3 linked regions of the Schizosaccharomyces pombe genome follow. The gene in region 3 interacts genetically with the main gene of each other region. Each region holds a gene or a part of one and is shown on either strand. Other genes may lie near its edges. The genes, in order: pqr1, vps1 and atg7.

Evidence for each region.
Region 1: of atg7 (region 3) and pqr1, a mutation in one rescues a mutant of the other (synthetic rescue), as found in Schizosaccharomyces pombe (one study listed by BioGRID).
Region 2: mutations in atg7 (region 3) and vps1 impair growth when combined (synthetic growth defect), as found in Schizosaccharomyces pombe (one study listed by BioGRID).

What each region holds. Positions count from the first base shown.
Region 1 is NC_003424.3:2,422,216-2,425,973, reverse strand, and holds the start of pqr1 (ubiquitin-protein ligase E3), read left to right. Parts: upstream 1-2,147; 5' UTR 2,148-2,770; coding exon 2,771-3,758.
Region 2 is NC_003424.3:1,997,249-2,001,006, reverse strand, and holds the start of vps1 (dynamin family protein Vps1), read left to right. Parts: upstream 1-1,591; 5' UTR 1,592-1,664; coding exon 1,665-1,757; exon of another isoform or gene 1,758-1,808; coding exon 1,809-3,752; 3' UTR 3,753-3,758. Other genes in the region: poly(A) polymerase Cid16, read right to left, coding at 1-22.
Region 3 is NC_003423.3:2,634,771-2,638,528, reverse strand, and holds the start of atg7 (E1 Atg8 and Atg12 E1 activating enzyme Atg7), read left to right. Parts: upstream 1-1,920; 5' UTR 1,921-1,934; coding exon 1,935-2,125; intron 2,126-2,166; coding exon 2,167-2,272; intron 2,273-2,313; coding exon 2,314-2,646; exon of another isoform or gene 2,647-2,681; coding exon 2,682-3,116; exon of another isoform or gene 3,117-3,176; coding exon 3,177-3,332; exon of another isoform or gene 3,333-3,370; coding exon 3,371-3,758. Other genes in the region: ubiquitin hydrolase Ubp14, read left to right, coding at 1-916. UniProt on the Schizosaccharomyces pombe protein: E1-like activating enzyme involved in the 2 ubiquitin-like systems required for cytoplasm to vacuole transport (Cvt) and autophagy. Activates atg12 for its conjugation with atg5 and atg8 for its conjugation with phosphatidylethanolamine.

The sequences.
Region 1 (3,758 bases), on a different chromosome or scaffold from region 3:
TTCAGTACGTTCTATGTAAAATGGTGATCTTTCTCACAAACCGGCGACAATAGCTCCCAACTGTGTTTCAAAAAATGTAGAAAGAGACAAAAAGGCGAATTGACGAGAAACAACGAATCAAAATACTGTTAATGCTAAAAAATAAAGTAATATGCTATGGGTAAATTAAATCTGTGTTGACAAACCCGCAAATACATAATATGGTGTGGTCCCTCACGTCTCGCCAATGCTGAAGTAAATAAATACAACAAGCGAAACATAAGTTAAAGTTGTGTACGAAATCATTTGAACCCTAAATAAATTTGTGTTCTATACATGCAAACTTTAGACAGTTTGAAATCCGAAAAATCACTTTTGTAAAAAATGAATATATGAATAAATATATATATTAACATATATTGATATATGTATAATCTTAATACAGTTTACAAACTACTGTCTTCTTAATTAAGAAAACATGGTTCTCATGAAAACTTATATTGTTATTTAAGGTCTTGCTGCTATATATGCATTAGCAAAATGCACATTTCCAAAAAATGAAGTTAAAATTATCAGTTTACAAAAGACATTGAACTAAAGATCAAATTTTTCCACAACCGAATTAAAATGTAAGATTGTGTTTTTTAGAAGAAGCCAATGCGCTAATAATAATGCCATGCTTGCATTGCTTAAAAACAAACGAACTTCTTGCCTTCATGTAGCAAGGCTATTATCACGAATTTTCATGTTAATTTCGCTATGAATGCTTGGTCTTTTCTGAGTTAATCAATACTATTTAGCTAAGGTTTCGCTCATATAGAATACGAAAATTTCGCATTTATTAATGCAAATTTCCTCGATGTTTTTAATATATTGTGTTGCTAATCTGACTATATAACACTGCCTCTTCAAGGGACAAATAGTTTTAACAAAATTTGTTTACATTATTGAGTCAAGCAATTACGACCCGATGTTATAAGCATTACGCAGATTTCTTTTACAAAAGGGAGGTCTCTTTCATTTACCCCAAGCTTAGCATTACAAAATCATGTGCAAATGAGAAGACTACTTTTAGGGAAAATAAAAATCTAAACTTGATTGGAAAGCGAAAGTTTAAATCCTAAATTGTTTGAGGTTGACGTGTTAGTTTTTCACCGTAATAAGTAAATAGCATTGTATAATGAATAAAAGAAAAATTTTGATAGTTTAACAATTGCTGCTATTCATATTTTAATAGAATCTCAAAATTCATACTAATCGACTTTCTTATCCTTCTATATTCTTCAATATTTCAAACTCGTTTTAAGTCTCTCCTATAGCTTGGGATTATTCAATGAAATTGTAATTGTCGTCCTTTCCTTTACATTGTGAATACTAAAAAATTGCTTCTTCCAGAATTGTTTTATTGACTCACGGATTTGCAACATGTCCTTCTCCTCTTTTTTTTTTTTTTTTCTTTTTTTTTCTAATCTGTAAAAAAACCAAAATTTTACAATCTCGATAATCCTTTTAATGTCTATAGTCATCAAACACGTTTATCTACTTACTCAATACGATAATGTACAATAATTCCATACGAAACTTGCCCTTATCTGTTTTAGTTTTTTGTGGCACACCGTTAACTAATCGTGAATAAAATGGTTATTACAGTCATAGTCCGGTTTAATCGGATCAATCAAATATAATTAGATACCTACTTATTATCATATACATACAAAATTAAAAACAATACAAAAAAGAGGAAAACAAAGAGGCTCAACTTCTTACCGACTATCCTTTATCTCTCTTTTTTTTTTATTTTTTTTTATTTTTTCTCTTTTGGCACAGTGCTACAGAACATTTGTTCAACAACCCAACTCTGTACGTTTCACACATTGTCAGCAAATTGTTGACAATCAGCACAAGCCTCATTCTATAAAGCTAAGGAAGATTTCGTACCACTGCTGGTCTTCCAATTGCCCCTGCTTCCTTTCCTTTTACTGTAAGGCTTACCGGAAGGCCGTTTACTAATAACATTGCGAACCCGAGTGCGGTTGGGTAGTATTACCTATACCGCAAGTTCCTCCGCTCTTTTTATGACGTCAGGGGGAAATGCTTTGGTTTGCCACCTTGCGTCGTCTAACGCGGTGCAATATAAGGATGCGAAAGGACTGCAAGGATTTTCACCTGTCATGAACCAACAAGGATTTTGACGATTAGTACAGTGTTAAAACTTTTGAAATAGTATCGAAAATTCATTTACTATATGTATAAGTATTAAGGAGTTACGCATCTCTTTACAATTTTAAACACTCACGTACCTTTGGTTGAATCAAGCCAGGCAGGTCTCCGTTTGCGAACGACGGTTTCGGTTGATTCGAAACGTGGTATTAGAAAATCATTTTATTTATTTTCATTCCCATTCCATTTATCTATTCTATCTAATTTCGTCCCATTGTAGCTTGTTGTTTTATCACAAGCAGCTTTTAGGTCTTTGGGCTGTTACTTTTTTCTTCACTTCATTCCATTACTAATATATATATATTTTAATCAAAACGTACGCAATTCAACTCTGCGAAACTCTATCTTGCAAGCTTTCTTTCTCCATCTGCTTGTAATAAAGAAAATACTTAACTCCGATACTTCGATTGCAAAGGTCGGAGCACTCATTTTTATAAAAACCACAAAGCTTTCTCCTTCTTGGGCTTTGGTTTTTTATTCTGTAGTTTTACCGCCTTTCAAATATTTTGATTTCAATCTTTTGTAAAGGTTTCATCCTCTTTCATTTTCATTGAAAAAAAGTCCTTCCGATATGAAATTTGGACACGATTTTAAAAGGGCTCTCGAAAACGATATGCCCCCTGGTTGGGGCGAGGCTGCCATTCAGTACAAGGCCTTAAAAAAATGTATTAAAAGGTTCGTTTTTGAGCTGTCTTCCTTGGGTCTAAGTGCTGAGACCATCAGTAAATTGATGGCTCCGACTACCGTGGATCCCCAACAAGCTATTACGCTTAGTTACTCCCTTGGCAAAGAGGGACACATTGTTGTCCCCAAAATTATTATCAACGTAAATTTTGATAAATTGAAAACTGATAAGTTCGCTGCTTCAATGTTCAAGCAGTTGAATGCATCAAATATGATTACAACCGTCAGGAGTAATTATGCCTCAAATGTTCCTTCTACTCCTTCGGATTCTACTCAGCAGCCCCCTACCAATACGTTACCAAGTGTGTCCGCATCATCTCAGAGCGTAGAGACTTGTGAAACGGTTGATGAAGATATCGATACTCAAACTATGAGTTCTGACATGTCCGAAGTTCAAAGTATGGAAATATCGTTGAACTGTGACCACGAGTTTTTTGAAAAATTAACTTCGGAGTTGCAAAGTGTTGAAGGACTACAGCGTGAACAGCGTAAAATTCTTTTTAACGCAATTGATATCCTGAGTCATGAAATATCTCTTATAGCTTCCCCTAATTCCAAAAAGAAATACAAATCTCTTTATTGCTGGAGAAAAATTTTCGAAATTTATATGGATTCCGATATATTTATTTCTTGCAAGGAAGCTGATCAGAGTCATGAACGCACTCCCGAGCTCGCTGAGCGCCATTTGAAATGGTTTGACGATCAGGTCAGGCTAGCAAAATGTCTTCCCTCTTCCTCAAAGCATCGTGATCGTATTTTGTATGCTAAGTTTCTTGAACTTAATGAAAGTTTGTTGAAAGTTGCTTCTTTTCAGCAAATGAATAAGTTAGCCGTTACGAAGATCATGAAAAAGTTTGATAAGCGGACATCCTTAA
Region 2 (3,758 bases), on a different chromosome or scaffold from region 3:
ACAATAATTTGGCAAATAGCATTTCACGAGTGATATTTTTAAATAAAAAAGTAAAAATTCTTTTTAGGCTTTGCTTTTAATTAAGGATCACAGAATAAATAAAGGGTATGCCGCTTTTAAACGATTGAAACATTAATTAACGAAACCTTTGAAAGAATAAATAATTTGTCGAATTTTCTTCAACGAGCACATTAAGACAGTTTTGTTTTATTGACTTAAAAAAGACATGTATACTAAATTTATGTTGAAGACATTGAGTAAGTAGTGCATTGGTATGGTTATGGAGTAAGTGATCCTAGGAGGAGTACCAATCTTCCAGTCTCTTATTAAACGCTCGCTAGAGCATGAAGCAACCTATGCGTCGTAGCATTTGCTTAAAAATTTGGGTTTTACATGTATGCCGTTCATGTATAAACCTAACAGTATGCCGAATACAGAGAAGTTGGATTTTATAGTTAACCCAAATTTGCATCCTGTTTAGTAACAAATTTGTAAAAATTGTAATTTTATTGACAAAAAATTATTTACAAGATATCAAAGATATTGATTTGGCATTTGTATACGATAGAGGTGTCAAGAAACGAAGCAAAATGTGTAAGATTTTGACAAACTACTCCACGAGTTATACAACCATTTATTTTGATAACTAACTTTTGGAATGCTAGTATTATTTAGTTTTGGAGTCAAGAACCAAGACTTCATATGTTTCTCTATTTGTAAGTTTGCATATGGTATATTAATATGCTTTGATAAAAATTAGAGATATTATCCACTATGAAATTCGCTTCCATTTATTGCTAAAAAGGTCCCAATTGTTATTGGTTTTTTTCCAACAAAAAGCATAAATTGTTTGACGCTAAGGTGATTGCTAAAATTTGTCCAATGGCATGTGCAAATTGAACACACTTGTCGACTTCTAATCAGCAGCAAAACAGAGAATAATTAGCAAAAATTGCTGTTTCTATAAAGTCCATTCCCTTTTCCTACTGAACTAAAACTCGTTTTTGAATAAACTAGCGTATTGAGCACTGTCAGCTACGCGTAATGTAACCAATTTTTAAAACTGTGGTGGTAGTTTTATTTGAAATATACAATATTACGGTACGCAGCAAAACGCGTACTATATTATAAAGATTCTCGTAAATAGGTACTATTTTTACTTATCAGCAGAATAGCTTATAATTGTACTGAAAAACAAGGTTAAAGCAGTTTCCGTTAATTTTTTCAGTACTCAAGTATCAATGGGTAACTTTGTATTAAGATAAATAGCATTTCGCAATTATCATTAAAAGGATCTTTCCTGTTATTCCAACACAGGGCATATAGTGATACGCAACGTAGTAAAACGCAATATTAGTATATTATCGTTCGTTAAATATGGAATGATGCATCGCTTTAATATTACTTATCGAGGGTTAAACATTAGATTTATTGTCTAAAGTCTGACAACAACGTTTCAAGGGCATCACTGTTTCTTTTTTGGTAAATCAATTAGCAACACGATATTGTTAAGCCACCTTCAAGCAGCCTTACTGAAATCCGATTAGCGAGGTACTAATTTTATTCGACATATCCGAGTAAACACTACACTACCACAGCACATACCATCAGGTTTGTAACCGCCCATTCGTAAAATTGTCTATTTAGTGGATCCATAGTTGATAATGGATCCCTCATTGATTAAAGTTGTCAATCAACTTCAGGAGGCTTTCTCCACAGTTGGCGTTCAAAACTTGATTGACTTACCACAGATTACTGTATGTTGTGAATTTTAACTTAGATTGAAAAATTCACTAATAAATTGTTAGGTCGTACGGTCACAGTCAAGCGGTAAATCATCGGTTTTAGAAAATATTGTTGGGAGAGATTTCCTTCCTAGAGGAACCGGCATTGTAACAAGGCGTCCTTTGGTTCTGCAGTTAATTAATAGACCTAGCGCTAGTGGAAAAAATGAAGAAACAACTACTGATTCAGATGGAAAGGACCAGAATAATTCATCTGAATGGGGAGAATTCCTCCATCTTCCCGGACAAAAGTTCTTTGAGTTTGAAAAGATTCGTGAAGAAATCGTTAGAGAAACAGAAGAAAAAACAGGAAAGAATGTTGGCATTTCTTCGGTTCCTATCTATCTTCGTATTTACTCTCCTCATGTGCTTACTCTGACACTAGTAGATTTACCTGGTCTTACAAAGGTACCGGTTGGTGACCAACCTCGAGATATTGAAAAGCAAATTCGTGAAATGGTTTTGAAGTATATATCTAAAAACAATGCCATTATATTGGCTGTAAACGCTGCCAATACTGATTTGGCAAACTCAGATGGTCTCAAACTTGCTAGAGAAGTTGACCCCGAAGGTCTTCGCACTATCGGTGTATTGACCAAGGTTGATTTAATGGATAAAGGTACGGATGTGGTAGATATTCTAGCTGGACGTGTTATTCCATTGAGACTTGGGTATGTTCCAGTCATAAATCGCGGTCAAAAGGACATCGAAGGGAAGAAGTCTATTCGTATAGCTCTTGAGGCAGAAAGGAACTTTTTTGAAACGCATCCTTCCTATGGTTCTAAAGCGCAATACTGCGGTACTCCATTTCTAGCTCGTAAACTAAATATGATATTGATGCACCATATTCGGAACACCCTTCCCGAAATTAAAGTTCGTATTAACGCTGCTTTAGCCAAATATCAGGCCGAACTACATTCTTTGGGGGACACTCCTGTTGGCGACAACTCCAGTATTGTACTAAATTTAATTACTGACTTTTGCAACGAATATCGCACAGTTGTGGACGGCCGTAGTGAAGAGCTTTCTGCTACGGAGCTTTCAGGAGGAGCTCGTATTGCGTTCGTATTTCATGAAATTTTTTCGAATGGTATTCAAGCAATTGATCCATTTGATGAAGTTAAGGATTCGGATATTCGCACCATTTTGTACAATTCATCTGGCCCTTCTCCTAGTTTATTTATGGGTACTGCTGCATTTGAAGTTATTGTCAAGCAACAAATTAAGCGTTTGGAGGATCCTTCCTTGAAGTGTGTTTCCCTCATTTACGACGAACTTGTCCGTATTTTAAATCAATTGCTTCAACGTCCCATATTTAAACGTTATCCTCTTTTGAAAGATGAATTTTACAAGGTTGTTATTGGTTTCTTTAGAAAATGTATGCAACCCACTAATACCCTTGTAATGGATATGGTTGCCATGGAAGGTTCTTATATAAACACTGTTCATCCAGACTTTTTATCTGGACATCAAGCAATGGCGATTGTTCAAAGTCAGAATAGTAAGCCGATACCCGTTGACCCTAAAACTGGAAAAGCACTTACAAATAACCCCGTTCCTCCAGTTGAAACTTCATCATCTTCGGGACAGAATTTCTTTGGAAGCTTTTTTGGTTCTAAGAATAAAAAGCGACTTGCAGCTATGGAGCCTCCTCCACCGGTTTTAAGAGCTTCTACTACTCTCTCAGACCGCGAAAAGACTGATACTGAAGTTATTAAACTACTTATTATGTCCTATTTCAACATTGTTAAAAGGACATTGGCCGATATGGTACCTAAATCCATTTCTTTGAAAATGATAAAATACTCTAAAGAGCACATTCAGCACGAGTTGCTTGAGCAGCTTTACAAGTCTCAGGCGTTCGATAAATTACTCCAGGAAAGCGAAGTGACAGTGCAACGTCGTAAAGAATGCGAACAAATGGTAGAATCTCTCCTACAGGCAAGTGAGATTGTGTCTAACGTTTAATGATAT
Region 3 (3,758 bases):
AATTGAGGGTGAGCAAATTTATGAAGAAGTCTCAATAGACCAATGTTTAGATGCAACTATACAACCAGACCAAATGGAGTATACTTGTGAAGCTTGTAAAAGTAAACTAGGAGCTACAACTACTACTGCCATGAAGTCGTTCCCGAAAGTCTTGATCCTACAAGCCAACCGGTTTGATTTACAGGGATATCAAGTTAAGAAATTAAGCATCCCTATAATAGTTAATGAAGACGGAATTTATAATTTCGATCGCTTAATGGCTAAGGACCACCCAAATGACGAAGATTATCTTCCTGAAAAGACAGAGACCATTGAATGGAACCAAAGTGCTATTGAACAGCTTCAAGCTATGGGATTTCCTTTAGTCAGATGCCAACGAGCATTACTCGCTACTGGAAATTCTGATACTGAAACTGCCATGAACTGGCTATTTGAACATATGGAGGACCCTGAAATTGACAAACCTATTGAAGTTTCTGAATTACTGCCCAAAGCAGACTCAAGTGTTTCAGAAGAAAATGTTCAATCATTATGTGAATTCGGCTTTACTGTTGCACAAGCACGAAAAGGATTGCTTGAATCTAACAATAATATTGAGCGCGCAGTTGATTGGATTTTAAATCATCCGGATGAAAGTTTTGAAGAACCACCACTTGAAGGATCAGATTCTTCAATAAAAAATGAAAATATGGGTAGTTGGGAATCGACAAACGTTCCAGTCAACTACAATTTAAAGGCCATAATAAGCCATAAGGGCTCAAGTGCGCATGCCGGTCATTATGTAGCATTTATACGCAAAGAGATAGATGGAAAGCAGCAATGGGTTTTGTTTAATGATGAAAAGGTGCTTCAAGTTGCCTCCTTGGAAGAAGCAAAAACTACCGGATATGTCTATCTTTTTGAAAGGCTAGATTGACATTAATTTATATCATTTTTTTTTTTTTAATAGCAATCATCGGAGCGTCTTATTGAATTTTGGGTTGAGCAGAATTTGGTAGCATACAACAACTAAATTTTTTTAACATTACATTATCAAAGAGACCCGGATTTAAGTCTTTCTTTACAAAATAGACCAACCATTCAGTTTGGCTTTAAAAACTCCTTTGACGCAAAAGTCGTTTTACAGTCATCACTCCCCGAATATTTGAAATAAATAAAAAATATCCTTAATAGCATTTTGAGTTACCTTCTGTGAACGAATTTCGTATTTTAAATTTTGAAAGAGTAGTTTTGATTGTAAGTATCCACGCACCATTCCAATTAAATGCTATATCGTCTCCACGGTCAAGAGTTTCAAAATATGTAAATTTGACCCTAAATACATAAGAGAGCTGACATTCATTTTATTTGAAAATATATCTGAAACCCAATTGTAAGCTACGCAGTTTGGTATCTGATTTAAGGATACGTAGAACTGCGGTGAGTTTTCCTTGTGATCTATTATATTACAATACACAGGTTGTATAAGTAGCAACTGAGTATAGGTATTGTATTAACTGGGTTATAATGTTACCTATCACTAATATAGCTCATAACTGAACTGAGGAACGAGGTTCAGCAGTAGCTCTATTTATAGTATTCAGATAATATTGATCTTAATAGATTATCATTAAGATCAATCTCCATATCGTATCATACATGGTACGATATATAATTAGAACATGTGACATATAGTGATACGCAACGTAGTGTAGTATTGCTGACACCAATGTAATTATAGCATATTTGCAATATTCAATATATTCTGTAATAACGCAGGTGTAAATTGGACTTGCCCTAAATAATTTCTAATTTAACGAAATTTAAAGCACAGTGATAAACAGTTCACGGCTTCAACATGTAATGACATCTATAATTTACTACACTACTTACTGTGTATACCCAGCAGTATATAGTAACTGTGTAGCAAACTAACGTTGTAGCAACGTTCAGAAATGTTTGTTGGAAAGGCATTGCAGTTTCAGTCATTCCATTCCTCCATTGATGCTACGTTTTGGCATCAATTGAGCAATTACAAAGTCGAAAAGCAAAAATTAGACGCGTCACCTTTAACTATTCATGGTAAATTTAATACATATTCAAGAGGAAATATATCAATTGTATTTGGAGAAGCGCCATCAAACAGGTAATGAGTGTACAATAATGCTTCATCTAATCTGTCCCTAGTAATATCAAAGACTGTTTAGCCGAGGGTACACTGTTAAATGCCAATACTCCTCAAGAATTTACTAACGCTGACGTGAAAAAAATTCGAGAGGAAATTGGTGAAGTTGTAAGTAGATTGATACAAAAGCTCATTAACATTATGTATAGTTATTAAATTCAATTAAAAACGGAGTTGTTTCTGAAAGGCCTAATGAATTACTTAGATTTCTTATATTTTCTTACGCCGACATAAAAGCTTACAAATACCATTATTGGTGCTTATTTCCTTCGTTTAAAGAAACTCCTCACTGGATTGTAAAAGACTTATCACCAGCTGAATCGCTAATACCTTCAGGTCCAATTTTATCTCAAATTCGTGAATTCTTGTCTACAGCTGATTACTATCAACGCCCTTTTTTCTTATTAATAAAATCAACATTAGATGAATGGACTATTGCACCTCTGAAGGAGCTTTCCCACTGTGTGGACAAGTCGCTTCAGGTATGCCATCGATTTTTAATCCAACTAACACGTAGTTTTATCTCGTTGCAGAAGATTCTGTTCAATTGGCAGAATATCCATCTTGGCCAGTCAGGAATATCCTCGCTTTTGCATTTATTAAGTTTAAATTGAAAGTGATTAATTTATTTCTATATCGCGATGGGATTAATTCTGATACGCTGTCGAAAAGCATACTAATAAAAGTTGAAGCAGATAAGGATATGATTCTTGAAGCACCCCTTTCAATCGTTGGATGGGAAAGAAATGGAAAAGGCGTTTTAGGTCCCCGGGTCGTTAATTTGTCTACGGTCCTTGATCCTTTTGTATTGTCTGAATCTGCTTCAACGTTAAACCTAAGCTTGATGAGATGGAGACTAGTGCCGCAATTAGATCTCGATCGTATTCAAAACTCAAAATGTTTACTTCTGGGGGCCGGTACTCTGGGTTGTGGAGTGGCAAGGAATTTGCTGGTAATGAAATTGAAATAAAATATTTATATGAAGCAAACGACCAAATTGCTAACGTTCTAGTCGTGGGGGGTGAGACATGTTACATTTGTGGATTACTCTACTGTCTCCTACTCAAATCCTGTCCGCCAGTCATTGTTTACATTTGAAGATTGCAAACGAAAGTTGCCAAAGGCAGAGTGTGCGGCGCAACGGCTTAAGGAGATATACCCGAATATGGTACAAAAAATTATTATGAATGCAAGCTAACAAAGAAGTTTTCAACGGGATATAACATCAGCATACCAATGCTTGGACACCCTATATATGAAGCTGGCATTGAGAAAACTATGCATGATTACGAAACTCTTGAGAACCTTATTTCCACTCACGATGCGATATTCTTGTTGACCGATACAAGGGAATCACGTTGGCTTCCGACAGTCATATCAACTGCCATGGACAAGTTGTTGATCAATTCAGCATTAGGATTTGACAGCTGGCTGGTCATGAGACATGGTAGTGTTTTACAAAAAGAGAATCGCTTAGGTTGTTATTTTTGTAATGACATATTTGCGCCTTCAAACTCACTAGTTGACCGTACACTTGATCAGACCTGCACAGTAACACGATCAGGATGTGCTAACATTGCTACAGCAATAGCAG